Alligator mississippiensis: one gene and its partners. The protein of the gene in region 1 interacts with the protein of each later gene in a pairwise test. Links are inferred from orthologs where the notes say so. Each region holds a gene or a part of one and is shown on either strand. Other genes may lie near its edges. The genes, in order: FMR1, NUFIP1, CYFIP2 and PICK1.

What was found.
Region 2: the proteins of FMR1 (region 1) and NUFIP1 interact in a two-hybrid assay, tested with the Homo sapiens proteins (2 studies listed by BioGRID). The link is inferred for Alligator mississippiensis from reciprocal best matches to the Homo sapiens genes FMR1 and NUFIP1.
Region 3: the proteins of FMR1 (region 1) and CYFIP2 interact in a two-hybrid assay, tested with the Homo sapiens proteins (2 studies listed by BioGRID and IntAct). The link is inferred for Alligator mississippiensis from reciprocal best matches to the Homo sapiens genes FMR1 and CYFIP2.
Region 4: the proteins of FMR1 (region 1) and PICK1 interact in a two-hybrid assay, tested with the Homo sapiens proteins (2 studies listed by BioGRID and IntAct). The link is inferred for Alligator mississippiensis from reciprocal best matches to the Homo sapiens genes FMR1 and PICK1.

Annotation. Positions count from the first base shown.
Region 1 is NC_081831.1:75,853,909-75,860,821, forward strand, and holds the start of FMR1 (fragile X messenger ribonucleoprotein 1), read right to left. Parts: upstream 3,014-6,913; 5' UTR 2,819-3,013; coding exon 2,768-2,818; intron 1-2,767.
Region 2 is NC_081824.1:410,873,637-410,881,311, forward strand, and holds the start of NUFIP1 (FMR1-interacting protein NUFIP1), read right to left. Parts: upstream 3,006-7,675; 5' UTR 2,930-3,005; coding exon 2,761-2,929; intron 1,775-2,760; coding exon 1,686-1,774; intron 1,196-1,685; coding exon 1,091-1,195; intron 1-1,090. Other genes in the region: GPALPP1 (GPALPP motifs-containing protein 1), read left to right, coding at 3,130-3,214. UniProt on the Homo sapiens protein: Binds RNA.
Region 3 is NC_081832.1:77,889,467-77,896,989, forward strand, and holds the start of CYFIP2 (cytoplasmic FMR1-interacting protein 2), read left to right. Parts: upstream 1-4,520; 5' UTR 4,521-4,602; intron 4,603-7,523. UniProt on the Homo sapiens protein: Involved in T-cell adhesion and p53/TP53-dependent induction of apoptosis. Does not bind RNA. As component of the WAVE1 complex, required for BDNF-NTRK2 endocytic trafficking and signaling from early endosomes.
Region 4 is NC_081827.1:99,868,083-99,875,884, forward strand, and holds the start of PICK1 (PRKCA-binding protein), read right to left. Parts: upstream 3,020-7,802; 5' UTR 2,890-3,019; intron 2,753-2,889; exon of another isoform or gene 2,705-2,752; 5' UTR 2,630-2,704; intron 1-2,629. UniProt on the Homo sapiens protein: Probable adapter protein that bind to and organize the subcellular localization of a variety of membrane proteins containing some PDZ recognition sequence.

The DNA of each region.
Region 1 (6,913 bases):
TTTCAAAAGTCACTGTACAATCAAAATTCTTTCTAGATTTATTTTTCTTTTCCCTCCACTAATGCAATCAGTCATGGTATCAACACAATTTTAGATTCTGGTAGAAGAAGAAAAACTACCAGGAGTTTTGGAAAGCTCCCTAGAATGTTTCTAAAACATTTGTCTTTATAACAGACAATACATAAAAGTACTATTACTATGTGACAGTAGTCCTCCCAGTTATTTGGGATGACCTGAATATCGCTTTGTGGCTTTGCCATTCATGAGTAATGTGATCACCCCCAACTCATGCCAGGAAGTGCTAGATCCAGAAGGGACTTAAGCATGGTAAATGAGCATTTGCAGAGTCTGTTAGGCACTTAAGTGCCTTGTAGTATTTGGCATCTGGGGTCTTAACAGGAACCCGAGGAAAGTTAGGTACCTCGGAAGGGAGATACATTAGAACACTTAGCAGGGAAGTACCTGAAACAGGGTGACAGGAAGTGCTGAGGATAGGAGGTCTTAAATCCCACCTTCTTGGGAGGGGTCAAGAACCTAACTAAATCACAGGCTGCCAAGAAGCACCTCTGTCCACTAACCCCAATGATGGTTAGACACAAGTCAAGCTCAGAACTGTCAAGTACTGTCAAGACTGAGGTGCTGCTGGGTACAGGAAAAACCAGAACTTTAGTTGCCTAGATTTTTTATACTCCTTAAGGGTTATGGAAGAGTTTTGTGGCAGAATTTGAAGGATTTAAATTTTGGACTGAGATGCCTAATGCAGAAGTTAGGTGGCCAGGTCAAGATGAATCCCCTTTTGTGGAGCTTCATCTTGTGCTGCCCATACACTACACCAAAATACAGTAGCAGCACACATTCACAGAATTTTGCTACAGTTCTTAAAAGCGGGATGAAGGCCATTTTACAGTACCAACTGTAAGGGCATACAGCTAAACTACACCAACAAGATGCGCAGCAGCGAAACACAGGACACAGGCTCCGCGTGCGTGTTATGTCCTGAAACAGATGTAATGTGGCACTTGGTGTGGCTTTGGACATGTGCCAATAGACATGCCAGAGATACTACATCCCTGAGATATTACATCCCCTTTGCAGTGTAGCAGTCCAGAGGCAGCGGGGACATGCATTTAAAGTTCATACTGCAAAACTGCCTTAATAGACTCTCAAGATCCTTACTGAAATTCTACAGATATATACCGCTGTTACACCTTGATGCAAGTAAAGAAAGTGAAGCCCTTACAACAAAGGCTAGAGATAAACACACCATTAAATAAAATTGGATAAAGAGTATTTTTACACTCTTATGATTCTAAAAGCATCCATCTAAGATATTGCCTACAGAAATGTTTCAGTTTACCCTTCAGTCATGTAACTGAAGCTCAGGTCCAGAATTTGTCCCTGCTGCAAACTTTGCGCGATGCCGGCCAGTACAGTTCATTCTGTGCCTCAGTTTCCTAATCACCAAGATAAGAATAATACTGGCTCATGTTACACCGAACCAGGCACATGCATTCATATTTGTGCAGTGCTCAGGTATTATAATGAAAAGAAAACTATTCACCTGAATGGATCAACTATGAATTTTGGTTATAGATGCTTAAAACTTTTAAAACATTTTTTTTTTAAATCTAGAGAACTGATTGATTTTGTTATAGCATATGTGATGCTTCTGCTGAGCCACCTTTGGAGGACGGCTGAGACCTATTTGCCATTTCCAACCCCCCACCCCTTATTTAACCTTTACATTTTTATTTCTTCACCAAACCAAACTATAACGTACTCCAAAACGTAAAAAGGAAAGAAGAAGAATATTCTAGCCAAAAGATGAATAAACCTGGATGGGCTAACTAAGCTTTCATACTTACCAACACAACAAACTCAGCTCATGATTTAAACCGCCCAGTGAAATTAACAGGAAGACTTGTAGGTTTCAACCAGCAAAATGGAAAAGTAGAAATCGCGCGTTTTTAATTCGCCGATTCTCAGAGGACACGAACCGGACAAACCCACGTGAAGTCCGCACGTCCCAAACTTTCTATCCCGGCGCTAGCTGTTCACGCCAAGAACACGCTTCGTGCTTTTTTAGGAAACCCCTCAACTTTCGACCCCGAAAACTCCCTGAGAAAAATCCCCCCGCTATTTAATGAGACCTGATCCCGAACCCTGTCTGCTTTCGAAGCCCGAATCTGACCAGCGCTCGAAACGACCGTTCACGAGCGCGTCGGGGCGCGAACCCCTCGCAAACTTCACTTTCTGCACCCCTAAAAAAAATTTAAAAAAACCCCCCAAAACCTCATCTGCTCATTAACCCTAAAAAGAAAAAGAAATAAACAAAATAAAAAAAACCCTCGTGCAGTCATTAACCCTAAAACAAATAAAAAAAACCCTCGTGTGCTCATTAACTCGCAGCCCTAAAACCGGGAGATTTCCCTCCCCACCCCGACTCCCCCAACCCACCCGCCCCTTTCCCCAGGGGAGGATGGACATTTTGGGGGCTTCTCAGGGGTTTAAATAGGGAGGCAAATCCCCCTTAGCATCCACCCAAGGGAACTTTTTTTTTTGGAGGGGGGAGGGGGGGATTTTTCTAACAACAACAAAAAAAAGCCCCCTCCCCCTTCCTTTTCCCTTCTTCCTTCTCCCTCCCTCCCCCCCCCCACAGGGCGCACGTGCCCAGCAGGCCTCACGCGGGACTAGGCCTAGGCCGCGGCCCACCCCACGGGCCCCGCAGGCCTCGCCCGGGCCCGGCCGACAATAGGCGGAGCGGTACCTTGTAGAAGGCCCCGTTGGAGCCCCGCACCTCCACCACCAGCTCCTCCATGTCGCGTCGGGCCCGGCGCCGCCTCCGCGGGGTGTGTGTGGGGGGGAGGGGCGGCTCCCGGCTCCGGCCCCGGCCCGCGGCTGCCCGGAAATGAAAGCGAAACGGTCACGGGCGCGCGGGGGGGGAGGGGCGGGGGGCGCCCGCCTCGAAGGTAAACATTCGACCCGCGTCACGTGACCGAGAGGGAGGGCCGCTCCCTGTTAACGGCGGGAGGGAGGGGAAGAGGGGAGGGGGGGCGTGTGAGGGGAAGGTGCAACCTAACCCGGCGAGCGCTGGGTGAAGCCCCGCCCTCCGCCACCGCCCGTCCCGCTGGTGAGTGACCGCGCTGGTAGCCAATGGGAGAGCGCGCGGAGCGGCCAATCAGGAGCGGGCGGGGCCTGAAGAGGGGGCGGTGACCCGGGGAGACGGGTTGCCATGGCGGCGGGTGTGCGGCCTGGCGGTGGGGGAGGGGGGTTTGCTAGCAGCTCCGAGCTGGGGTGTCGGGGGGTCACGTGTGCTCGTCTGAGGTACACGCTGGGGTGTCACAGACACTAGTCAGGTACACACAGAGGTGTCTCGTGTTACTCTGAGGTACACACGGGTGTCACACACTAGTCTGAGGTATACCCAGAGGTGTCACGTGCTAGTCTGAGGTATGCATGGGTGTCACACACTAGTCAGGTACACACAGAGGTCTCATGTGCGCTAGTCTGAGGTACACACGGGTGTCACACACTTGTCTGAGGTATACCCAGAGGTGTCACGTGCTAGTCTGAGGTATGCATGGGTGTCACACACTAATCAGGTACACACAGAGGTCTCGTGCGCTAGTCTGAGGTACACACGGGTGTCACACACTTGTCTGAGGTATACACAGAGGTGTCACGTGCTAGTCTGAGGTATGCATGGGTGTCACACACTAGTCAGGTACACACAGAGGTCTCGTGCGCTAGTCTGAGGTACACATGGGTGTCACACACTTGTCTGAGGTATACACAGAGGTGTCACGTGCTAGTCTGAGGCACGCATGGGTGTCACTAGTCAGGTACACACAGGTCTCACGTGCGCTAGTCTGAGGTACACGCAAGTGTCACTAGTCTGAGGTATATGCAGAGGTGTCACGTGCTAGTTAGAGGTATACACGGGTGTCATGCTAGTCTGAGGCACACACAGGTGTCACATGTGCTAGTCTGAGGTAGACATGAGTGTTGCATGTCCTAGTCACAGGTGTCATATGCGCTAGAATAAGGTACACACGGGTGTCGCGCGCTAATCTGAGGTATACACGGTGTCACACACTAGTCAGGCACACACAAGTGTCACGCACTAGTCTGTACACACAGGTGTCACATGCACTAGTCTGAGATACACACGGGGTGACACGTGCTAGGCTGAGGTGTAAACAGGGTGTCACGCACTCGTCTGAAGTCAGACCTCTTTTATTTCAACTGTGTTATTCTTTATGTCAAGGGAAATCAAATCACAATACATCATTTAGAAATATTATTTAGGTGCCAGACAGGCCACGAGGGTCAGGAGCGACAGGACAGAGGAGACTTAGTGTTTCAAGTGCAAAACATGTTGCCAGCTGGAGCTTTTTTTGAAGTACACTGCTGCACGCACGGCGGTGAGGTGACTCTGCGTGCCTGAAGAAGGGCGTTTACGCCCGAAAGCTTGCAACGAGCAATTTTTACAACTATTTAGTTGGTCAAATAAAAGATCATCTTTCCCAAGAACCTTGCCGGCTCGCAGCGAGGGGATACCTCACTCTGGGTCCAGTGAAAAGTTTGGGGAAAACTGCATTTTTGGCTTCAGCTATGTAAGTTTTGCCATTGTAAATGATGAAGAGGAATTTGATCGGTATTTACAGACTGTTCTGTAATAAACTCGGGACCTGAAGTCAGTCGGAAGACGTAATCGCATGGAGATCTATATATCTATACATAGAGGGAGAGAGCACATGCTTTTGTGGACCCCAGCTCGCTTCACCATGCTGTGAAAGGCCTTGCAGGAAACAGCATGAAGAGAGAAATTAGGATACAGAAAACGAGGAGAGGGAGAGAGCAGGGGAATGGGCAGTGCTAGGTGAGACAATGTTAGGGGCATCTTTTTATTTATTTATTTATTTATTTACTTTGCCTGAGCACAGCAATCCTGAGGGGTTAGGAATAAAATTAAATAGGAATAAAATTGTATTATATTTAAGTTCTAGTATTCTTTCCCTCATGGGAAGCTCTTATATTCCTTCCCTCATTTCTTATATATCCACCCCACTGTGTCACCGGTTGCATTTTCTATATAGGGGTTAGTTTTGAAACTGAGTTTTCCTCTCCTAGATGGAATGGACTTTCTAGCATCTGACAAGGCAAGCTATAGCCTATGAAAGCTCATGTCTCTGAATGCAGGTAGATGTGAAGGACGGTTGCTCCTGCAGTTTGTGATGGCAGGTAGTAGCTTGGTAGCCTCCCAGTTTTGATAACACATTTCCATTTTTTAAAAGAGCTTTAAGTTCTGTTTTTATATATACATGTACGTATATATATACATGTATGTATGTATATATATATGTATCTATATATATATATATATATATATATAGTAATAGCATCTAATTTAACTAGGGCTGTTAGGAACCATGGGTGAGTTGTGCAGCCTTGGGGGATGCCAGGGAATTAGTCTTGAGGAACGTGGTTGATTCCTAACCAAAAGGCTGTCTCTCTGCCCCACCTCCTGGCCCTCCAGCAGTCATCTGGGTAAATCCAGTAGCCAAGCTGTCTAGAAAGCTGGTGTTATCAGAAAACTATAAGATGTGGAGGGATGTCACGGGTGATCAGCCCAACCTTTTGCTCAGATGTGAGCCACGTTATTCCTAAAATATCCCAGACAGGCCTGCTCAGCCTCTTTGAAGAACAGCAGCGAAGGAGATGCCACAGTTTGGTTAGGTATCCAGGTTGTAGCTATATTGGTCTAGAGGAAATGATATCTTTTATTAGACAGTTGGTCTAATAAAAGATATCACCTCTGTCCACAAGCCCTGATTACAATTTAGGTCTTGATTCATTGGGAGGTATATGTTTCCTAAAGAACTGCAGCTGACCATTCTCTAGCTGTCTTGGCCCTGTTTTGCCCAAGGGTTTCAGGTGAAGGAAGGTGAGAGAGTGAGGTTGACTGCATGGGCATCCCATGCTAAAATCCATTCCAGATGCAGATGTCATGTTCATGCCAGTTGGTTTTAAATAGTGCAAGCTACAGAACTTCAAAAAAATAGGTTGTGCTATATTTAAATATGTTTTGTGCACCACATCTGCATGCAGAAAGGGGTTGAAACCTGATCTATATACTTTTTATTAAGATTGATTCTCTCTGCAGAACTACAGGGCAGAAAGGGATAGCAGCAATCAGGAAGGAGCACTTTTTTATAGTACTTGATGTGTGGGTTTATTTTAGAACAGGTTGGGAAAGTCTGCTCCTTACAACTTAGCCACTGACTAGGATTTACTATTTTATGTATTGAAAATTAAAAGTAAAACAGATGCTTATGATTCACTAAATCAGAGCTATGTAATGTTAGCCACAAGATACCTTGATGATGTAGGCCAACTGTAAACAAATCATATCAAAATGTTATAAATGCAAAATCAAGCACTTGCAATATAGGAAATACCAAAATTAAGGTTACCTGTGCACCTTTAGTTTGAGCCCCTTGTGCATAAGTATCATGATGCAGTATTCTATTATATGGTCACATGCTATCTTCTCCTAGAGCAGTGGTTTTGAACTTTTTTTTCCATTTGCAGACCCCTACAATTTCAAATGGAGGTGTGGACCCCTTTGGAAGTTTCAAACGGAGGTGCGGACCCCTTTGAATTGTAAGTGTGGGTATTCACATCCTTTTGATTGATCATAAGCATCTTTCATGGACCCCTTACACAGTCTGCAGACCCCCAGGGGTCCATGGACCACAAGTTGAAAACCACTGTCCTAGAGAGGTAGTTAGCTGCGTTAGTCTGAAGTTAGGCAGAAATTAGGGCAACGTGGTATTTTGAAGTAACTCATTTAGAGAGGCATGAGCTTTTGTAAGCCTGCTTTGTCAGATGCTCTGAAGTCCATTTTGTT
Region 2 (7,675 bases), on another chromosome or scaffold:
TCCAATGCAGCTCACCGCTCCTGGCCTTGCTGCTGCAGCAGGGCCCATGCTTCCCAAGCAGGATTCTTCCCTGCTAGATTATCACAGAATAACCAGCTTTGATAGGCACTCCTAGCCTCTGCCTCTTCCCCTGGCTGATTATTTTCCTTGCAGCCAGCTCTGGCTGCTACTGTTTTCTCCTCAAGTAACAAGAATCTTCTGGCTCTCCATTACACCTCCCCAAAGCGTTTTTCAAAACAAAATTCTTTCCATTTGAGGACTGATGGTGCTGGTGAACTGATCCACAGCACTCTGTAAGCAAAAGGTCCTATTATTATTTCACAAGTGTTATATAACAAAGGGACAGAGAAGAAATCTATTTCCCCGAAGTTAAACTTAACCCAGAACTGTTTAAAGCATACAAAGCCACCAGCTACACACTATTAAGCTACAAGATCTTTTGAACTATTAGGTACAAAGTCTACATTGCCCCTAGTCTTTATTAAGGGAAACTAAATACCTGTTAAAATTCAGATTACAACTCTCAGCGACCAGCAAGGTAGAACTTCACTACAGTTTCTTGCTTGAAGTGATAGAAGTAGAGCAAATGGCACCTAAGAATTACTCCTATTGTGGAACTGTTTTCAATGGAAGAACCATGGGACACTGGACGGAACAATGGGATGGAAAAACTGCATTTAACTCAGATCTGGAGTAGGAAATCCCTTAATATTTCACACAGGTTTCAAACCCAGATATGCTTTCAGCATCAGGGTCACCAACAGCCAATCCCATGCAACTACAGGCAAAAGTTACAGATTTAACTGGGACCTTAGCTTTACCTCTTAATCAAAAAGGATACTAATTAGCACTAGCACTATACTCCTTGTCTTAGATCCCAGTTAAGGTAAAAGTACTGATTCTAATGCAAATATTACCAACTGATACCACCCTTGTAGAACACGGATCCCCTCTAGAGATCTTCCATTCAGACACTGACCATGACAAACTACGGTGAGGTTACAAAATCAAACACCAAAATGAAAGAACGTTGACAGAAGGCCAAAAACATTACTTTAATATAGACTTCCTAAAAATAAACAAACCCAACCTGTGTGTGCTGTGCAATGTGTTCATCATACTTTTCTTGGTTTTTAAAGCCACGGTCACACGTATCACAATAGTGAGCAAAATCTGGTTCTTTTTTCTTTTTGTTCTGCCAAAAGAGAAAAAAGGGGGACAGGGTTAAAGAAATTGATTAAAAATATTGGCTCTTATTTTAAATAAAGTAACATGCTATGAAGAAAGCGTTGAAAATATTTTATATCAATTGGAATTTCAATACTCCAGATATCTGAAATGCAGCTTAGTCTGAAAAGTAATTTTAAATCAAACTACCATATTCCACTTCTCTCAGCTTTTAAAGTCAAATAGGTTCCGTTTACTTTTCTTTTTAAAGCATCAATGCTACCACCAACCCATCCCAAGCTTTGAATATCTAGGTAGACTGAAGATATCAAATGAATCATGAGAAAAAGATTCTTGCAGGAGGCCAGCCCATCTCAACAATAAAGAAGCACCCCACGATACTGAATTTAGGCTTACAGACACATCATGGTGCATGCGCCATGTGTTTCAATTGAGAGTACTCTGTACTTGAACTACACCTGAGGCTGCATGCTCGACATAACAATTATAGTGAGTACCTTCTGTTTGTAGTTTCCACTGCCAGAACGTCTGTAATACGGGGGTGTTTGCTCAGCTTGCCATTCTGAGGCAAAATGGCAGCTTCCACCTTCAACAACACCAGTTACCAAAAAACAAAAAGAAAATTAAAAAGCAGCAATTATAAATTAAAAGTGATAAAAATGCAATGTGAAAATACACCCTATTTCCACCAGGATTATATTTAAGGGAAGGGGGAGCAGAAGAAGAGTGCACAGCCTAAGTTAGCGCTTTTCAACCTTTTTTCATTTGCGGACCCTTAAAAAAAATTGAGTGGGGGTGTGGACTCCTTTGAATTGTAAGCTGGGTATTCGCATACTTCCGATTGATCTCATCTTCTACAGATCCCTTTTAAATATTGTACAGACCCCCAGGGCTACAGGTTGAAAAGCTTTGACCTTAGTTATTGGAGCCAACCTTTCCATAGAACTGCATAGAAGTTGAGCCTGAACGGACCTCCAGAGGTCAACCCCGCCCAAGGCAGGATCATCCCTAATTAAAATCAACCAAAACAAATATATAATCTAACCTCTTTGGAAAACTACTGCCAACCTTTATGCAACACAAGACATCGCACCCTAACCTGCCACAGGTAAAGCAGATGGACTGCAGCAACCAACATCCTGCTTCTGTAAAAGGTTGCCAATATGAACTCAAGAGACCCTGGGTACAGAGAGGTCTGCACCCCACATTAGAGAGGAAGGCAAAACCCCCCACAGCCCTACCAATCTGACCCTGGGGTAAAATTCCTTCCTGCTGCCAAATATGGGGATCAGTCTGACCTGAGCAGAGAAGCAAGACCCTCCAGCCATGAACCTCAAGGTTTATGCCCCAGCAGGAGCACTGGCACACCCCAGGCACAGGCGGTGCCACCAATCAGCCCGAGGGCTGCTCCAATCCCCTTCCCAACCTGCTCTCTGCCCCCGGTGGGATCAGCCACATGCGTCCCATGCACGGGCCACCCCCAGCCTCTGTAACTTGAGACAGCCAGAGCTCGCAGGACGGTGTACGGGCAGCGGCTCCAGGTGCCTCAGCACTGCTCCTCCCGCCGCGTACCTGGGGGCGGGCCCGGGTGCTGCTCCCCGTAGCCGGGCGCCGGCGGGGGCTGGTACCAGGCGCCGGGAGGCCCGAAGTCGGCGGGCGGCCCCCAGAAGCCGGGTTCCCAGGCAGGCGGCGCGCAGAACACGGGGGGCGGCGGCGGAGGATACCAAGCGAAGGGATTCATGTCGGGCCCGACCCTTGCTGCTGCCTCCACATGGACCGCCTCGGGGGCCACCACATTGCGCGTCACTTCCGGGCCCGCTGTAAACACCACGTCCCCCCCTCGTGGCGCAGAGCCGGCCAATGGGCAGCTAGTAACGTCATCGGGCGACGCCGGAAGCGCGGCGGAGTCTGGTTGCGTTGCGCTGTGCCGGCGCTTTTGTTATGGCCCGGGAGCTGATCGGGCCGGCGCTGCCCCCGGGCTTCCCGCGCTGCCCCGAGGCGGACCCCGACGAGGACTTCACGCAGGGTGAGGAGGGGGCGGTGGCCGTTGCTGCCCACCAGCCTCTGCGCTCCGTCGCGTTCAGGCCGCTCCCGGCCTCGGAGCGGGGCTCGGCTCTGGTTGTGGCACGTGTGACTAGGGCAGAGGTTCCCAACCCCCGGGCCGCAGCGGGTTGGCGGCCGGGCCGCACGAGGGTTGGCTACCGGACCGGGAAAGGCATCCGACTGAGTATAAAAAAGGGTTGGCTGCCTCTCCACGGTATGCCGGTCACTTCCACACTGCAGTTTGTTGGTCATGGTCGTTTTTGGGCCACAGCTTGCTGGTCCGTGATCTAAAAAAGGTTGGGAGCCCCTGGACTAGGGTGACTGCCCATCCCTAATTGGGCAGGGCAGTCCCAAAATGGGAACTTCAAGCCCTGGTCCTGGGCTGCATGACTCCAGACAGTATTTGTCCCGGATTTGCAGTATTGTGCAGGGATCTGGGTTTTCCATTCGCGGCACGAAGGTGCTGCTTGGGGCTGAGGGGAGCAGGATGCAGGAGGTGCTGTATGAACATGGCTGGGGATACAGCCAGGAAGTGTGGAGAGCAGCTCCCTGCAGGTAAGTCTGTGAGGGGGGGGGAAGGGACATGGTGGGCGGCAGATTGAGACCCCCACGGTGAGGCAGGGAGTGGGCTAGGGGGCTGGCAGCACTGCCCAGGGTGGGACATGGAGCTGGACGGAGGCACGGGTGGTTCATCTGGGGAGGGAGTACAGGGGGCAGCTCCCTGTCACTGCAGGCACATGTGTCCGTCTGTCGTGTCGTGTGTCCCCCCCTCCCCCCAGTTTTCTGCATGGGGTGGAGTTGAATGCAGGCTTGGGGCTCCCTGCCCTGCTGCCCTTCTCCTGGGAGCCCCATGCTGGCTGTACCCCTCTGGCAAGGGGCAGTGTTGGCGTGGACTTGTGCCCTATGCTGCTCCCGGGTGGACAGGGGGCACACAGCCAGTGCAGGGCTCCCAGGGAAAAGGCAGTGGGGCTGGGAGCCCCAGGTTCACAGCAGGCAGCCCACACCTGCGCCCGCTCTGCTTGGCTCTGCTGCTGGCAGGAAGGGGTGGGGAGGAGAGGCAGAGACATGTCTTGCCTTTCCATTTTGAAGTTAAGTCACCCTGCATGTGACAATGACCCTGCATCTGTGGCCAGTCTACGTTTGTGGCACGATTCCCCAGTGAATTATGCCCATGACTTTTTGCCATTCATTGGTGAAGCGTGCTGTAAATTTAGACTGTCCACACACGCCAAGCAATCTCCCACCATAAAAAGGACTCTCCAAAATTAAAAAGAACCTACTGGCTACAAATTTAGTGCTTGGAAATGTGTAACAGCTCTACAGCTGGTTTCCATCCACCTTTCATTTAAACATGTAGCCGGGTCTTGATGCTGCTGGCTCCTGTTGGAAATGTTCTTGTTTATGTTGTGACTTGCACGCAGACACTCCACGTCACCTTGTAAAGGATATTGAGGCAGCCTAGGGTGGTGTGGGACCTGGCTGAGAATCAATGGATCAGGGGTCCCAGATGTGTATACATACGCCCATGGAAAGATGCAGGGTGGATGTAAAGGTGCACTTGCGCCCCCCCCCCCCCCCCCCCCCGCTTCACCCAAACTTTAAAGCCAACTGCGTGTGGGGGTTAGCGGTCTTTCTGTTCAGGCAGTGATGAGATAGTCAATTGACTTCGTGGCTCATTATCTTCTTCCTGAGTCCTGCTAATCTCTCTTCATTCCACAGGTGTTAAGGATTCTTCCTCCCTTTTATGGTCTTGATCTTCCACTATTCAAGCTATTCTTTCTTCTGCCATTTTGCTGTCTGTTTGCCATTCCTGGTAATGAGTCTCTTCCATTTCACAGCCCTACAGATGCTTTTGATCTCTAGCTAAAAACCTTAACTCAGGTGTGGTCATATTAACTCAGATTTAGACATGACTGACAGTGAAATATTTGAGGCACTGCCAAGACATTCAAAAAGGCTAGATTTTGTTTTGTGAATCTGATAAGAGATGTACATTTAACTATAGTGACTGCAGGACTAATGACATGCTATACTTTATTCGTCTAGTTTGTTTTTTTTCAATTGATACATATGCCTAGCAAATTGGTACACATTCCAATAGTTTGCTGTGATCTTAAACTTAATAATATGGCCTAAGGCCCTTAGGATATAAGTAAAGCGTCTAGTTTCTCTTGAACTGGAGAAAATGTGTCACATGGTGATTTATCATGTATTCTGCACCCCACTTTTCAAAATCCTGGATCCATCCATGCACATCGCCTACCTTGGACCTAAATCTCATTTGCTGCACTGGCAATAGGTTGCTCTGTTGTACGTCAGTATTTATTGCTACTTTTGGCTTGCGTAAGGCCATCTTGTCAAATCCTATGCCATTTATTGGAGAGGTCTGTAATTATTCTTAGTAGAAAGTTTAATTGTATGTCTAGAAATAATTAGCTCATCCCTACAAAAGAAGAGCATTTTTTAAACGCACTGGAAAAGTGTGGGTGGTCTAACAGTAGGGTCCAACCAAGGGTGACCAAGGTATGGTCTGCCACCTGTATCTGGGTTGGGGAGCTGCATCATGCAGCCCACAGGGCTCCACACAGGACCAGAAATTTGGCAGCAGGATGAGTGGCAACTGCATTAATTGCCACAGCTCCATGTTCGTCCTGCCAAATTTCTGAACCTCTGGGTAGCCCCTGCAGGCTGGATGATATGACCTTGCATGCCACATCGGGCCTGCAGACCGGTCTCATGCAACTCATCCAGCTGCTGAGCCAAATGAGTTGGACCCTGCTGTTAGACCACCAACACCAGACAAGATAAAATAGGGCATGTTCATAAATGTCTGTGTGTTTGTGCTTGCCTGCATTTGTCTTATATTTGAAGCAGCCACTTCTTAGCTACCAGGATGCATAGAAAATGAATAACTTGTTTGTGCAAGAAAGACATTATCTTCACTGCAGTTAGATGACTTTAGGCTAAACTTCGTTCGTATCTGTGAGAAGATTCTGTGAAAGACGCTCTGGAATGGGAAACACAGCCGTATAATAATGGCTTTAAGAGAGGTGAACTGAATTCAAACTATGTTAAGTACTTTTAAATAATATCACTTTCCTTCTTAGTTTAAAGGCACAAATACACTTATGGGTCATGTATTTTGAATACAGCCATTGAAGAATGTTCTGACCAAGTGCTGTTTTAGTGGAAAGTATTTATTTGTTGAAACTCAAAATTTTCATGGAAATGTGTTCATTTGCACTATACGTTGTTCAGGAAAGGCATCTCAAACCCAGGTTAGAATTTCTCATCAAAATTGGAGAGAGAGGAGACAGCCCAGAGGTTAGGACACTCACCTGTGATGCGATCAATCCTGAGTCATGTTTCTTTTCTGCCCAAGAGGGTAGACACACAGTGCTTTTACACCAGAGTAATTGGACTTCACCCCAAGTAAAAGTGGAGTAGATGCGAAGTATTCAGCCTTACTCAATGGTAAAATAACCCTTCAGAAAGGCAGTTTCATCCAGGGGTCACTGTTTTAACAGTGCAAACCCTCTCCGTTGTCACCTAGAGGCCAAATGCTATAATAACTCCTCCTGCAGACAGTTAATTTGGCAGAGGGAGTCTGGGTTCTATTTATTAAACATAACTTTGATAAACTTATTGTGAATTTATTACAGAGTAAAATGTAGATAAATTACTCTGTAGTGATAATATCATGTGTCCACACCCTTTTTCAGGTTAGCTGGGTTCTGTAGCTACCAGGCTGTTGGCTATTCTAGGATGGGTTTCCTATTGGGGCTGTTAAACTTTGTTTAAATAATATTCACTAAAGCAAGGACTTGAACAACAAAGTTCCCAGCTTAAGGAACTGACACTAAATCTTTTGAGTAATGTTGCATGTGTGAGCATTGCCCTGGAAGTCACTGACACTATTCATGGAAGCAAAGTTAAATGAACAGCTGTTTGCAGAATTAGATCCTAAAGGTGTTTTTGGCTTATCAGGTCTTCAGTGCAGCTGTTCCTGTGTTTCATTTGTTAAAAACTACTCACTTTCAAGACTAGTTTGGACTTAGGCTTGTTCATTTCTGTTAATATTTTTCAGCTGTGTTAAAACCACTTTTATTAATGCATCTCCCTTAGATGAGGCCCTGCTGCTCAGTCTTATGAAGTTTTATATAAAACTCATACACACTAAGTAAGTAGTTGCCATTTGGACAAATAATTAGCATATCAATTTAGCTTTAAAATTCTATTCCTGCTCAATGTAGTTTGCCTTAAGCTGTGATGAACAGAGGGCATGGAACTGCACAGAATGTGGTTGCTGTGGCCACAGTGGTTGCTGAAGTGTATCTAGGATTTAAGTCCAGTGAGATGTCAGGAGAGGAAGCTGGTTGTTAGTGGAATAGGTGGAGGTGGTGCCCGAGTGGGAGAGGTTGTTGAAGTTCCATGGGAAGGTTGG
Region 3 (7,523 bases), on another chromosome or scaffold:
AGGGAAAACGGTGAGCTGGATCTATGTTTTCACTGGGAGAATAAGCTCTCCTTTTGCCCCTTCACGCTCCAGCCTCTCCGTCTGAGTCCAGACTACCTAGCAAAGTGTGAGTTGTTTTAAAAAGAGGTCATTTACCTTGAGCAAAAAGTTGGGGACAATTTCCACAGGCAGTCTAACTAACGAGGGTTGCGTGGAACCGAGCAGCTCCCCAGGCATGCACAGGCCTCCGAGTTTTGCAAGGATATGATCCAGCTGCAGAAAGTGTACTTGTGGTTTTGCTAATATTGCATAACGGTTGCAGAGGCCGGGTGAGAAAGGGAAACAATTTCAGTGATCTCACGGGTGCAATTCAGAGCAGAAGGCCCTTGTGACTGCTCCTGACTTGGGTCACCCTCTGCATTAGATGCCGATCCCACCGCTCGCAGTTTGGGGGCGGTATTAATGCAAGAATACAAAAAACCTGAGAGCACGACAGCGTATTGCAACGAAGGCTGACTTCTGCAGAGGGAAAGCATCGCAGCACCCAAGAGGGGTGCTGGCAGTGGCTAAATCTCTAGAGCATTTGCACCCTTATTTGTAGGTAGGGGAGGAAGTGTGCAGTGAGGATGGCACGTGCATCCCTGTAGCAGCACTGGCGACTAAAAAAATCTTCAGGGGATCATTGAGAGGGCTCATCCTGGTTGCCTGAAAGGAAATCAGGCAGGGATAGGAAAACTCCAAGATTTAGTTGGGAGCTGAATTGTTTGGGACTGGTGGTAGGAAAATATCCTGGCAGGGAGACGCTCTGGGAATACGTCTGTAGTTCAGACTGCATCATGTGCAATTTGCTGAATTGCTTCTGCTGAGATGAGCTGGCTAACGGCGCTGCCAGTTTAGACTCCATGGATACACTGCAGAGCTAAGATGGAGGAGGTTGCTATGGGTTTGCCTAAACGACTGTGAATCTGCAGGGTTTAAAATGGTTGAATAAAGCCACCCAGATGCTTACAGCAGTCAGGATGTTGAACCCACAGAAACCTGTATCCCAAGCACAGGAAAATGTAGGCAAGAGAGTTTTTCTGGGTATTGATCTGTGAAGGTACACATGTGGGGGAGCAACAGCAGAAAAGCCAGAGAAGCAGGGAGGGAAGGCAGCAAAAACTTTAAGATAAAACCACTGGAAATATGGCCTCTGAGAGAGCTTTAGGGCCGAGTGCCGTCTGGAAGAGGCTTGGAGCTGCGAGCGAAGAAACTGTCCTGTTCCCTGGCTCCTCACAAATTCAGGGAAATCAGACAGCCACATCCTTTGCAAATAATTAGGAGTCTAATAGCAGAATCTGATTCCACCTCCAGGTTCTCCTCCAAACCTGGACAAATACTCCAAATACTTGATTCACCCCTCGAGCCAGAAGTGGTAATACATAGATGTTAGGGTCGGAAGGGACCTCAATAGATCATCAAGTCCGACCCCCTGCATAAGCAGGAAAGAGTGCTGGGTCTAGATGACCCCAGCTAGATACTCGTCTAACCTCCTCTTGAAGACCCCCAGGGTAGGGGAGAGCACCACCTCCCTTGGGAGCCCGTTCCAGACCTTGGCCACTCGAACTGTGAAGAAGTTCTTCCTAATGTCCAATCTAAATCTGCTCTCTGCTAGCTTGTGGCCATTGTTTCTTGTAACCCCCGGGGGCGCCTTGGTGAATAAATCCTCACCAATTCCCTTCTGTGCCCCCGTGATGAACTTATAGGCAGCCACAAGGTCGCCTCTCAACCTTCTCTTGCGGAGGCTGAAAAGGTCCAGTTTCTCTAGTCTCTCCTCGTAGGGCTTGGTCTGCAGGCCCTTGACCATGCGAGTTGCCCTTCGCTGTACCCTCTCCAGGTTATCCGCATCCTTCTTGAAGTGCGGCGCCCAGAATTGCACGCAGTACTCCAACTGCGGTCTGACCAGCGCCCGATAGAGGGGAAGTATCACCTCCCTGGACCTATTTGTCATGCATCTGCTGATGCACGATAAAGTGCCATTGGCTTTTCTGATGGCTTCGTCACACTGCCGGCTCACGTTCATCTTGGAGTCCACTAGGACTCCAAGATCCCTTTCCACCTCTGTGCCACCCAGCAGGTCATTCCCTAGGCTGTAGGTGTGCTGGACATTTTTCCTCCCTAGGTGCAGCACTTTGCATTTCTCCTTGTTGAGAAATGCACCCAACTCAACTGTTAGCATGGCACTATGCATGTGTGTGTGTGTGCGTGAGCATGCATGCACACGTGTGTGCTCACATCTGGGACCAGACTACTGGAAGAAAAGACATTGCCCTGAAAGATGACGTGCCAGACAGGTGCGGGCTTGGCTTCCTCACTGAAACTATTCACCGTCTCATGGGCAGGTGCCTGGACCTCATGACCTGAGCGTGCACTGAGCAGCACAATGCTGTGGCCAAGGTAATGCCCTACAGATTGGCTTGTACCGGACAGATGGCCAAGGCTACCGACCCTCGCTGCAAGCACAGATTGCCACCAGTGCTGGAAGATGATGAAACCAAAACACATTGGGATAGGTCAACCATCGCGGAGCAAACCTTGGCACACAAACCACCACACCCAGATAAGGGGCTACCAAATACTAACTGGAAAAAGAAAGTAAATCGGGATTTATTATTGACTCTCTCTCCCAATGCAAGAATGAGGGGTCATAACATTGAATATTAAGAAAAACTTTCTCTCTAGGAGGGTAGTAAAACACTGGAACAGGTTACCTAGAGAGGTGGTGGAGTCTCCATCCTTGGAAGTGTTTAAGACCCAGCTCAACAAAGCCTTGGCTGGGATGATGTAGCTGGGGCTGGTCCTGCTCGGAGCAGGGGCTGGACTAGATGTGACTCCTGAGCTCTCTTCCAACCTGAATTTTCTATATTTCTATTCTGTGACCTAAGGACTGACCCAGTAGACAGCAATTCTTATATTCAGACACCGTGTTTGTGGATGAGATGACCAGGCTAGCACTAGTCATTGATGTTGCTATCCCAGCCCATCAGAAAATCACAGTACACTACAGCTGGAAGGGAGCTTGGGAGGCCACATCTAATTCAAGGCAGGATCAATCCTGTCTCAACCACCCTGGACAAGTGTTTGTTTAATCTGCTCTTAAAAGCTTCCAAACTGGCAGGGCCTGGAAAGGGCTGATCCTGCCTGAGGCGGGGGGGTTGGACTAGATGTCGTCTTCTCTAGGAGGCTCATGATGCTCTCTCAGGAATCCAACCCGGTGCTGAACCACCCTGATAGCCAGAGAAAAGCTCAGACGATGCCCGAAGCTGGCCACGGCTGTAAAGAAGGTGCTCTGGCTCCTCCAGAAGGATTGCCATGCAACATGACGTTACGCAGTCGACCCATTCAAACCACTTCTTCTTCCATCTGGTGGATGCAGATATGGAGCGGCAACTCCAGTTTGACAGGGAGGTGGCTGAGCCAGACAAGGAGCAGAGAGAGGATGGATGTGAGACCTCCTTCGTACCACCCGGCTCTTCCTTCTCTAGGGGATCCTCTCCCTGGGAGCCAGCAGGTGCCCATCGGCCATCGTAGGTCCTGCCATATTCTGGATCAGCAGTTCCCAATCCGCGGGATGCATACCGGACAACCTGAGAGTGGTACACGTTAACAGATTTATTATAATTATTTTATGATAAAAACTTGCTGGTGGCACTTAAGGTTGAACTAAAAAAATTGCCAGTGGTACTTAAGGCTGTATCGTTTTAAATGGTGGTGCTCCATCTGCCCGAGTTTGGGAACCCCCGTTCTGGAGGTGACCTTGGAGGCTGGTGGCAAAAGCACAACAATGGCACCGTGCCCTTTTGGACGCCCCCCTGCTGAAACCACACCTGCCCTTGCCAAGCCGCTCTCCAGTAGCACTCGTGTCCTACATTTCCTTGTATAGTCCAGCCTCACCTGCGCTGTCACAACCTCCCTTGGGAAGGGGACCAGGAGGCAGGGGTGCACCCCAGGGGTCCCCGGGGACCTGGCATTGCTGCAGCCTTGCATCTCTGGGGGAAGAGCTGGGGGGGGGGGCAGGGCCAGAGGGGTAGATGCTGCAGGGGCAGATGCCGCAGGGGCAGGGGTAGATGATGTAGGGGCAGGGGTAGATGCTGCAGGGGTAGATGATGTAGGGGCAGGGGCAGGGGGGTAGATGCTGCAGGGGCAGGGGTAGGTGATGTAGGGGCAGGGGTAGATGCAGGGGTAGATGCTGCAGGGGCAGGGGCAGGGGGGTAGATGCTGCAGGGGCAGGGGTAGGTGATGTAGGGGCAGGGGTAGATGCAGGGGTAGATGCTGCAGGGGTAGATGATGTAGGGGCAGGGGCAGGGGGTAGATGCTGCAGGGGCAGGGGTAGGTGATGTAGGGGCAGGGGTAGATGCTGCAGAGGTAGATGCTGCAGGGGCCGGTGCCCGGGCGCAGCGGAGAGCCGAGGAAGTGCACTTGCTGCAGCCATTTCCTCTCTTTGTGTGACACACGGAGGCGCTCACACTCGCTCACACGCGCACACGCGCACGCACCGGCAGCGGCTGCAGCAGCAGAGGCGGCGGCTGCAGCATCCTCCTCCCGGCGCGGCCCGGCCCGGCCCGGCCCGGCCCCGCGGCGCAGGTAAGCGGCTCCCCCGCTCCATCCCGCGGCAAGCAGGATGCTCCCGGCTGCCGGGGCTGGAGGGGCCCGGAGGACCAGAGCCTGCCTGGGGCGTGGGAGAGGCAGGGATGGGGCTGGAGGGCAGGGGAGCTGGGCATGGCCACTGTCAGACCCAGCAGAGATGGGGCAGGGGGGCTGGGGTGCAGGGGAACCGGGCATGGGCATGGTCAGACCCAGCAGAGATGGGGCAGAGGGGCTGGAGGGCAGGGGAACCGGGCATGGGCATGGTCAGACCCAGCAGAGATGGGGCAGAGGGGCTGGAGGGCAGGGGAACCGGGCATGGGCATGGTCAGACCCAGCAGAGATGGGGCAGAGGGGCTGGGGTGCAGGGGAAGCAGGCATGGGCATGTTCAGGCCCAGCAGAGATGGGGCTGGAGGGCAGGGGAACCGGGCATGGGCATGGGCATGGTCAGACCCAGCAGAGGTGGGGCAGGAGTCTGGCCAGGGCCTGGAGCACCAAGGAACCAGCACAGCAGCTGTAGCAGCAGCGAGGATGACTGCATTTGGGCTCCTCGGTGCTGGCTTTGTCAGCCAGGGCCTGGCCCCAGAAGGCAAGGTGCTGCCTGCTTCCCTAAGGAGGGTACGGGGAGCGCTTCCCTCCAGGGAGCCCCTGGATGCTGGGGTCCCATGGAAGCATCCCTCCTGGAGACCCCGCCTGGGCCTGCAGACCTGTCCCTGCCCACTCGCCCCTGCCAGCCCAAGCTCTTTGGTGCCGGCCGGGTCCCGGGGTGAGGGAAGGAGCCGTGGGTGTTGCAGGCAATGCCTGCAGGCTGAGGGGGTCTGGTGGGGTGGGAGAGGCGAACGGAGACCTTTGTGCGTGCTCGGGGGCTTGGAGTTGTTTGTGCATTTGCTTGGCGGTGGGAATTCAGGACAAACCTTGATGCTTCAGAGGGGAAAAGAGCCTTAGCAAGGGGCAGCCTCACTGGGCTCCCTCGAGCCATCTGCTGCTTTCAGCACGGGGGTCTGGGGCGGTGGTTTTTGGATCCGAGGGATCTCTAGTGATTATGGGCCGGCCGAGCCACCTGAGCCAGCCCGCTGTACACGGGAAGCAGAAAGAACCAGCTGCTGGTGGCTTAGGTGAGGAGAGCTGTCAGATGCTGGTCACCGGGATGGATTACTTGGGCTAAATCCTGCTGTCTGTTCAACCCACGTCCATCCAGCGGTGCTGCCTGGAGAGAAGAGTTTAGCTCTTCATGCCTCCCGCTGATTTTCCTTAGGGAAGCCGAAAGGAACCACGCAGCACCTTGCTCGGTGGGGCCGGCGTCTGTCCAGCAAACCCGGCCTGAGCAGCCCAAATCTGTGATACTGCAACTATTATTGTTGTTCTTGTCACTATTAACAATAGCAGCAACAAGAACAAAACAAGGAAAGGAGGATGGGATTTTTCAAACATTTGGCTCACAATTCATTACACTTCTCTGCCTATGTGAGATTGAGTTTCCCAGGAAATGAATGTTTCCCTGTCATCTACCAGCAATCCCAATTAGACAGGACTCTGGCAATGCCGTTTCCAAACAATAGCACAGGATCCCTTTCCTTTGTCACCTCCTGCCACGAAAATATTGGCTAAGTCATCCCCCCCACAAAAGCACAGAGGTGGTAAGAGAAAGGTAGTTAGCCCTATTTGTCTGCATTTATGGTAGAGGTGCACCTTCTAGACTAGCAAAAAAAAAGATGGTTAGCGAGGTTAGATTATGTCCAGATTCAAGGACTCCACGTACAGGGCCGCTGGCCATGGCTGGGATGTAGCAGAGGGGCAGGAGAGCGCCGTGCTTATTAATCGTACTTGTAGCAGTGACTCAGGAGCCCCGATCTGCAAGCCTGGCTCCCCGGGAGCTGCACTCCCCCCGCACGCATCTCCTGGATTGCAAAGTGACTGTGCACCCCTGGAAGTCCTATTTCACGTGAGTCGGGGTGGACAGATGGGGCCTGAAGAAGCCTCGCTGGCTGAGATCGATCCTGAATGTTTCCTCCTCCTGCATCCCGGTCCATTGTAATCCCATTCTCTCCCCCTGGCTCCGTCCCTTCCTCGTGTTTTCAGCCATGCGGTCACTATATAGTGACTACTTGTATACCCCCTCCCTCTGCCCATAGTATGGAGATAGATGAATTTATTCTTCTCCTCTGTTCACACAGATGAAGTTATTCTTCTGACTCTTCAGCAAAGGAGGGTGGTTTCACAGAAACATGATGGTTGTGAGGCTAGATCTACATTGATTTATGGTCACTCTGAAGCCCTCTGTGCTGCAGACAGTACAGCTCAACCCTGGCAGTCATCCAGCCCAATGCTGGCAGCTCAGCACCACGTCTAGGTCTAAGGTCCATCCCACTGCTGCCTTCTCCCTTCAGGGTGTCGGGGGGTCACCTCCGTGGACAGGGTTCAAGCACAGCCAGCAATAACCCCCCAGTTCTCTGCACCCGACTTCCAAGTACTCTGCACCCCACGCTACCTGCCTCTAGGCACAAATCTGGAAGGAGAGACACATAATCTGTAGAAAACCAGCATCCTTTGAAAACCTGTGGTGCATCTCCATAAGATGTAAGAAATATATAAGATATAAAAAATAAGCAGCAGTGTGGATGTCCTTGGCACAGGCCACAAAGTGGGGCATCCTTTAAGAGCCAGGCCGTGGCCATAAACAAGCCCATCTCTCCTCATCACAGCTGCTGTCCTCTGTGCCAGGCTTTCTGCCCACTTCCCCATGGCGCTGCTGCCCTGTCTGTGATACCACAGGCAGCTGGGTTAGAGTGCCCTGATCAGTAAAATCCCCCCTCTGCAGTTTTTAGAGCTGTTTTGGCATGGGCAGGGGTCTCTTCGGCTGGACCAAAGCAAGCTGACTAGTGCAGACAGCCTGAATCACTTTCTAGCTCTTGTCCATGCT
Region 4 (7,802 bases), on another chromosome or scaffold:
CACACTGGTCATGTAAAACCTAACCTCAAACGGCACACAGCAAAATCGTGTTTTCTCCTGACAGTGCCCGACTCCACCACTTTGATGTTTCATTTTGACCCCTGTCTCAAATCCACATGTCTCCGTCAGGGCATGAGGGGGTTAACAGCAAGAGACTGAGAGGCGGAGTACCACCTGCTATAGCAGGTAGTAGCCAGACATACCCAACTGATTCTTCCTTTGATCTTCCCAGACCCTAGTAATGCAGGGAAATTATCCTATTGTAACCCCTTCCCCTGCCCACAAAATATCAGAACAACTAAGATGATGGACAAAGAGACATCTTGATGCCCAAACTGATTTTCTTCCCTGCTTTCCCTCATAGTGGGGTTCCCCACATCCTTCATCTCTGAAGCATCCAGCATAGCGAACCCCCCACTCCCCCCTTTCGTATTAAAAATGTTGCAGAGGAAATTTCTCTTAGTCCCTTAGACAGTGGATATCATACATCAGTAGAGGTGCTGCTGCTTGAGTGAACTGTCTCATGGTTGTCCCTCAGGTCTGCCCTACAGACACATTCATCTTTGTGGTCTTTTGGGTAGAAGTGCTAACAAAGAGACTGACTAGCACCATTGATGATGATGCTCTTGTGGTGGAGACGCTGATCCCAGTAGGAACTGAGCTGGCAATCCCTTTTCTCCCCTGCCACTCTACACCACTTAGTGAACTATCTGTTGTAGGGCAAACGTTTGGTTTCCATTAACCTTGGGCTGGCTGGAAATCAGGTGAAAGATCAGGAAGGAAAGTGCCTGACCTGAGGCAGTGACAACCATTAACTGTGGTTTTCACCTGCCCCTGTCCTCCCAGACCCTCTGGTCCCTCTGGAAGGGAGTGATCAGGATGGGGAATCCAATCTGATTCTCCCACTCTCAGGGACTGGAGTACTAAATCTTTTGGCCTGCCCTTGAAGGAGACTAATTAATCCACCATGGCCTAACCAACCTCCATGTTTAAAATGCCTTTTGTTTGTACCTGGTCCCCCATGACAATTGCTGCTATCCCTGCAAGGGAACACTACAAACAGCTGTAATTCAGCCACATGGACCTGCTCCTTGTTGAAGCTGTCAGAGCAGCAGCCAGTAGCTGTTACAATGTGGTTGCAGCCACATCAGGAGCTTTATTTTTTCCTGAATGAGCCTATCACTCTTCTCTGCTTGAGCCCACTCAAGCTACCAACCCTTGACCAGGGCCTGAGGGAGAAGCAGGGATTACTGACCATGTCCTGGGTTTTGAGAGGCTCTTGAACTGGTGCCAGTGGCTCCTTTCTGTTAATGATACAGAAGGAAACAGAGCAGATCTGGCTGTTGCATGGCTACCTCCCATCTGCCCAGGTCCCAACAGCAGATAGGAAGATCCTTGGGTCTGTTAGGAACTGTGGTTCATCAGATTCTCGGTTGGCTGCCACTCTGGAACTAGGCATCACAACAAAAGAATTGCCTTATGACACAGCAATACTGGCACCATCAGGGAGCCTATCATAAGCATAGGGATGCTTTACATTCTCCCAAGATTGGGAAAGACCCATGAAACCCAGAGCCATCATGAGTTCTTCTTGACCTTTACTCAAGGACGAATTCAGGGAAAAAAGTGGGGGTGGGGCTGCACTAAAAGGTCATTTTTAGATTTGTGGTGATAAGCTACATGATCCATCTGTGGATGGATGTGGCCTGATTATGATCTTACTTATGTAGTGTTAAGCAGGAGTAATTTCCATTAAGTCAGCGCAGACAGGCTTGTATCAGCCTGGAGTGAGAGCAGGATCAGGCCCATACATTTTACAGGCTCATTTTCCAAAGCAGACTCCAGGTCCCTTTTCTCCCTCCCTCCTTGGGGGTGTCAGACTCAGACCAGCTTTCAACAAGGAATATTTTAGTGAGACCCTGTTAATCTGTCTGGTTCCTTTCTGGCATTCCTCTTTGACTGCCTTGATGATTACCCAGCTATTCATGTGTCACTGAAATCTTTTGGGTCTCTCTCTATACATGCCTCTCCTCAGACTTCTTTCCTGCCAGTGAGATCACAGGGTAGGGTAGCTGACTTCACAGCCATTTCCATGACAGTCAGGTGTGATGTCATAGTGCTGCCTAGTGATACCCACACACCTGAGGAGAGAGACAGTTCTCACTGAAAGCACTGGACCCCCGATATCTTGCTTTGGGACGTCCAGGATGCTTCTGATGTCCTATTTGCATAGGTTCTGCCCTCCAACCCTCTGGCTGTCTCTCTCCCCTTATTGGGGCCCAAGATAGAAGGAATTTTAGCCCTCCTTCAACCCATAATCAGTGGACTCACATCCCCTTTGCCCTACCCTCTTTTCAGTGTAAATGCTACCTCCCTCTTCCTCCGGCTTCCTGGGAGGAGTGGAGTCCAGTGCATCCCCTTTTTCACGGCAGAAGGCAGATCCTATGTACACAGTAGCATCTGGGAAGGTGTGTGCGCATTGCTGAAGCGTGGACCAGCAAAATGGGAAACAGATGGGAGGACACCTCCTGTCCCTTAAGAGGCAAGGAAGGGGATAGCCATCCTCTGTACCACCCTCACTTACCCAGATTCCCCTCCACCAGATTATCAACATAAGGAAAGGACAAACCTTCAGCCGTCTCTGCTATCCCCCTGATATGGCGTTGGGAAGATCTTTTAGTTCCAGCGAGGCTTCCTGATATCACTGGAGAGAGAGAGGCAGCCGGCCAAAATCCATGCCAATCCACCGCCCCTGCCAAAGGGACGTGGGGGAGTGAAAAGTGGGGGAAAGGGAGCAAAAATAATGAGAGAGGGCCCCAAGAAAATACCTACTCCCCAAATTAAAAGAGCCCAACCCACATTCTCCAGCTCTTTCTCCTGCTTCCCCACCTCGGAAGGAAATGGGTTTCATATGGATGAAGTGGGTGTCTGGCTGTCCCATCCAAGAGGGAATGCATCCACGGTTGCAGGATGGGGTCTAGCCATTTCGAAGGGGAGCTGACTCCCAGCTACAGCCCTGCCCTGCCCTGCCCTGCCCTGCCCTGCCCTGCCCTGTAGTCCGGCCGCTGCTGCCTCTGCTCTCACTGGCCCTGTCTCCTCTCTCCTCGTTGGGTCTGAGGCGAGCTGGACGCTTTTAAAAAGCTTTTTATGTGTGTGTGTGTTAATCACATGATTGTCGTTCACCTGTATCTTGAACAAAGACAGCGCACTGTTAAAGGCCCAAACAAGAAAGAAGGCAAGGGGGGGGGGGGATGTAGAGGGAAACTGAAGGGGTTGTTGAGAGAGAGAGAAAACCCTTATCAAACTTCCAATTCATGGGTCTCCCTTTCCCTCAACACACTGGAGTTATTGTTTCGCTGTTGTGTGTGTGTGTTTTTGAATGTCTGTCCCCCCCGCTCTGACGCTGTTTTACTGTATGGAAAGATTTCATTGTGAACCCCTCCCATTTTCCCAGGCGGGCCTGGGACAATACCAGTCCTGTGCCCTTGAGACGGGACATGGCACAAAAGCTGTCACTGTCTTATTTACCCAGATTCTTGCTGGGGTGCAGCAGCTCAGGTATTTGTGGTGCATACCCAGTTATCTGTGACAGATCTCCCTGGAGCTTGAGGGAGAGGCTGGGTAGCAATGAAACGGGCTAGGCACACCAAACGTTTTCTGCAAGGCCTCAGGGACCCCTGGACTTTGGGATCTTGTCTGCACTTCTCTCTGAAAATCACCTCTTTCTCCCCTTCAGACAGATTCTTTTTCCTTCATGTTCCACTTCACAGTGGATCCTTCATCTTCCCTGCCCAGTAACACACCATACGGGCTCTTTGGGCCAAACCCATCCCTAGTAACTTCAGAGATGAACTTGACCTTGAGTATCTCAGTAGTGTCACCACCACGTCTGGATCCTGCCTTAATATGGCTCCTTATGGTGATTCACCCTGCTTGCTCATAGTTCAAATCTTTTCCTCTGTTTTGCTCCTTAATGCTTGGCTAAAAGCAGGATCTGTGTTGATGACCAACTTTACTCTCTTGCAGAGGGGCTGGAAGTCATAGGAGCCTGGAGTGCTATATAGGTCTCTTATAGGACTTCCTAGGGCACAAAAGATTTGGTAAGATGGAAAGATGGGAGCAAGGGAGCATGTCACAGAGATACTGCACATGCACATGTATTGTCGGAAGCCCCATCAACAGGCCAGCTCTATATAATTTAGTGCTTTATCTGCAATAAGAGCAACCACAGTACACTCTCACCAGAGAACGGGCAGCCAGCACAGACCACAGAGCGAGGGTGTCATTTACTGTCACAGGCATAAGTCCTGGAATAGCCAAGCTGCCACAGCTGCAACTTACAGGTGGTTATGCAGAGCTCCCAAATAAAATACATCTATATAGTCACAATGGGATGTGTGTGTGGTGACCTGGAACTGGGTCTGCAGGGGGGACCCCAGGCTTAGAGAGAGAATTGTAAAGGAATCACTGGATGTGTGAGCCAGGGGCTTGATATTCAGAAGCTCCCTCGGTCTTAAGAGCTCACTCGTTGGAAGGTATTTATCTCAAGTACTTCTATGACCCCTGCTACTATGGTACATGGGCACCTCACTGTCCTTGGTGTCACTCCCTTCCCAGCACCTATGTGAGGCAGAGAAGTGCTATTATCCCTCCTTCTGCCAATGGGGAAATGAGGCACAGAGAAAAGGACTTGCCCACGGTCATGCTAGAAGTGTGTGAAAGAGCAAGTTCTCCCAAGTCCCATGCCAGTGAGCCAACTATGCTAGTGTGGAGGAGACTGAGGATCAGAGCTGTACAGATATAATGGGATAAATACTATTCAGCTGCGAAAAAGAGGTGGAATCTGCTATAGGCAGATTGCTGTACAAATACCTGCCAACCTGAAAGGATCCAACTGGCCCTCACCCTTATAAAGATCTTTGCTGAAATTTAATCAGATGGGTGGCTAATAATGGACCTGGGAGGTTTCTCAGTCTTAGAGAGGTGCTCAAACAGGTAACATCTTTATTCTGTAGATAGAAAGTTGTTGCCAGCAGTGACTCTGGAGTAGAGAAATGGTTGCTGTTCTTCCCTCACTCAGTGTCCCATCATCTCAGTGATGTAGAAGGCACCATATAGTGATAGAGAGAAATCCCCGTTGGCTACCCACCACCATATTACCAGGACATGTTACCAGGATAGAAAATGAGGCTGAAAAGGGTTAGAAAATGCTTAGAAAACACTTTAAACACCTGTGCTCCTACTCCAGTTTCTGAGGAATACTTGGGGAGCTGAAACTGGACATAGAAAAGGAGGAAAGGATCAAAAGAGATGACAAAGAGAAAGAGAAAAATCAGGATGGAAATGGAGTAAGAAGGAAAGAAGAAAAACACCCTCTCTCCCAGTTAATTGCAAAGAACCATTGACACGGCATTTTGGTAAAAGCTACGTAGAGCTCTTCTCAGAAAGGCCAACATGTGTGGATCTGCTCAGGCTACCTTGACTTTGCTCCATGACAGGGGCATATCGATTCCATCACAAGGTAAAGGCAGGGACTGCTGTTTTGTTCTGTGCTTGTGCAGGGGCTCCTGGGCCATGACAAATGCTTTTGTAGGCTACCAAATTTCAAGTACTAATACTGGAAGTACAAGGTGGTCTCAAACTCTATGCCTCATACTAATAGTGTCATTGTGGTTTGGCTTCTTTATCCCACCACTGGGAAGTGTCATTTTGTGTTCTCTCTCCCACATTGTTGGGCACATGCAGAAGAGATGTGATCTCCAGCTCTGCCTTTCCATCAGATTTAAGCACCATTTTTTTTTCTACTTAGGGTCAACATAGAGGACCCTGGACTTTTTGATTAATGTGCCAAAAAGAGTGTAGGACACCCTGAAGTCCTGTGTCTTGTCAGGCACTTTGCTCAAGCGAGTCCCTTTGTTGTTGACTCTTGACCTAGCTTATAGCAGGGGTTTCAGTCAACTGATGCCTTGCCACTGGGCTATCGGGACTCTGTAATCCCATTCCTGGAAAAAATATCCCCCTCCCATTCTCCCTTTCTCATGAGGCCAGCAAGAACCTGCACCTGGAGGGAGGGAGGGAAAATGAACGCCTCCTTCTTATTGTATCCTGCTTTGCCCTTCCCCCATCCCAGGTTGGATATTAGCCTCAGAGGAGGAACAATTGGGCCAGTGTTTCTTAGTCGTGGCTATCTCCCAGTGGGACCAGGAGATGACCCCTTCCCCCTCCCTCAGGCGGTTCCTCTCCTCCATGAAGATTCCTGCATCCCTCACAGAGGCTCCTGTCAGATTTGTGATAAACCTCACTAGCCGGGGAAGATGTGCTGAGTTCAGCAGTCTGGATGATACAGTGATGCTGCATCTTGTACGCAGTGGTGATCATTTTGGGCTCTTGGGAAGAAGTGACCTGGCCCCCATGTGTTTTTCCTGTAGTTTCCTGGAAACTGCAAGGGACAGAGGTTCAGCATGCCAAAAAAATTCCTGCCACGCCAGTGGGAATTCTCCCCATGAAACAGAGAGAGCTCGTCTGTGTGATGGCCCAGGATTCACCAAACCAGCACTGCAGCGTTGCTTATATGTAGGAACCAGGGCCTAGAAATTTCTCCACTGAGATCTCCATGAGGAATTTGTGTGCATGTGTGTGAGACTTATATCCCTTACTCTTCAAAGGGAAAAGGAGACAATATTGGGGAAGATGCTTTGCTTGCTTGCTTGGGAGAAGGAAATACTAGACCCTTGTCTTGGGTCTTTGTCTCAGAGAGACATGGACAATGCTTGAAGATGTAGGGAAGGTCAAAGTCGGCCCTTTGGACAGGGGTTTATTTGGTGCCAACTCCACCTTTTCACACACCTGGTATATCATGTATGGACAGGTATTTGATGCCACTGCTGTAACCTGCACTTGCCATCAGCACCAGGAAGCCCACATCCTTGTTCTCACTTACACCGGTCTCATTAAGCTTCCAATAGGCTTCTAGTTGAACTTAAAGCAGGTCCCCTTAGTGCTGTCCTGTAGCTTCAGCCCCCAATCCTTACCGTAGTATTTATCTCCCTTGGACCCTCGCCATACAGAGAGGCAGGAGGCAAAAAAGTGATCTATAACTGTGTAGGGAAAACAGGCAGGCAGGCACCACTTTCAAAAGTGTCGACCCTAGGTTTGCTCTGGAAATTGCAACTCAATGGGGTTGTTTCCTTGGCTCTTAGTGTGACCCTACCCATTATTTGCTCTCTCCTTCCATCGCTGTGTGTTCTAATGAATCAAGTCCTGCTCCACTGGCTCAGCTTGGACCTCCCTTGATGAAACGATTTCCCTGGGTCTCTCCTCTCTGTATTTCTGGCCCGACACTGAAGCATTTCCAAGCTGGCTCTTCACTTATGAACTTGGTGCCTAGAGTTGTATGTTGGTCCTAATTAGTAACATCTAGAGCCCATGGGATGGTCAGTCCCTGGTCTTGCCAACTTTTCAGTGGGGAACCTTGAATGGATATGCTGTTCTTCACCAGCAAGGATGAGAGAGGAAGTGATGTTAAGAACCCAGCTAGCAAAGAATTCTGGGAAGGAAAATAATCACAATAGAAAATAAAGGGCGTAATGCAAAACACCCTAATCCACCGAGCTCTAGAGTTACTTTTACGTCCCGGCATGTATGGGTGTGCGTGAAAGGGAAAGAGAGAGAGAAAGAAAGTGAGTTTTCCCTGGAAACCCTGAGAATCCCCCTCTTTCCTAATGGACCCATGTCACCCCCCCATGCTTCCACCCACAAATCTTTAGGATTAATTCAGCCCTTCTTGGTAAGTGGCCAGAGCC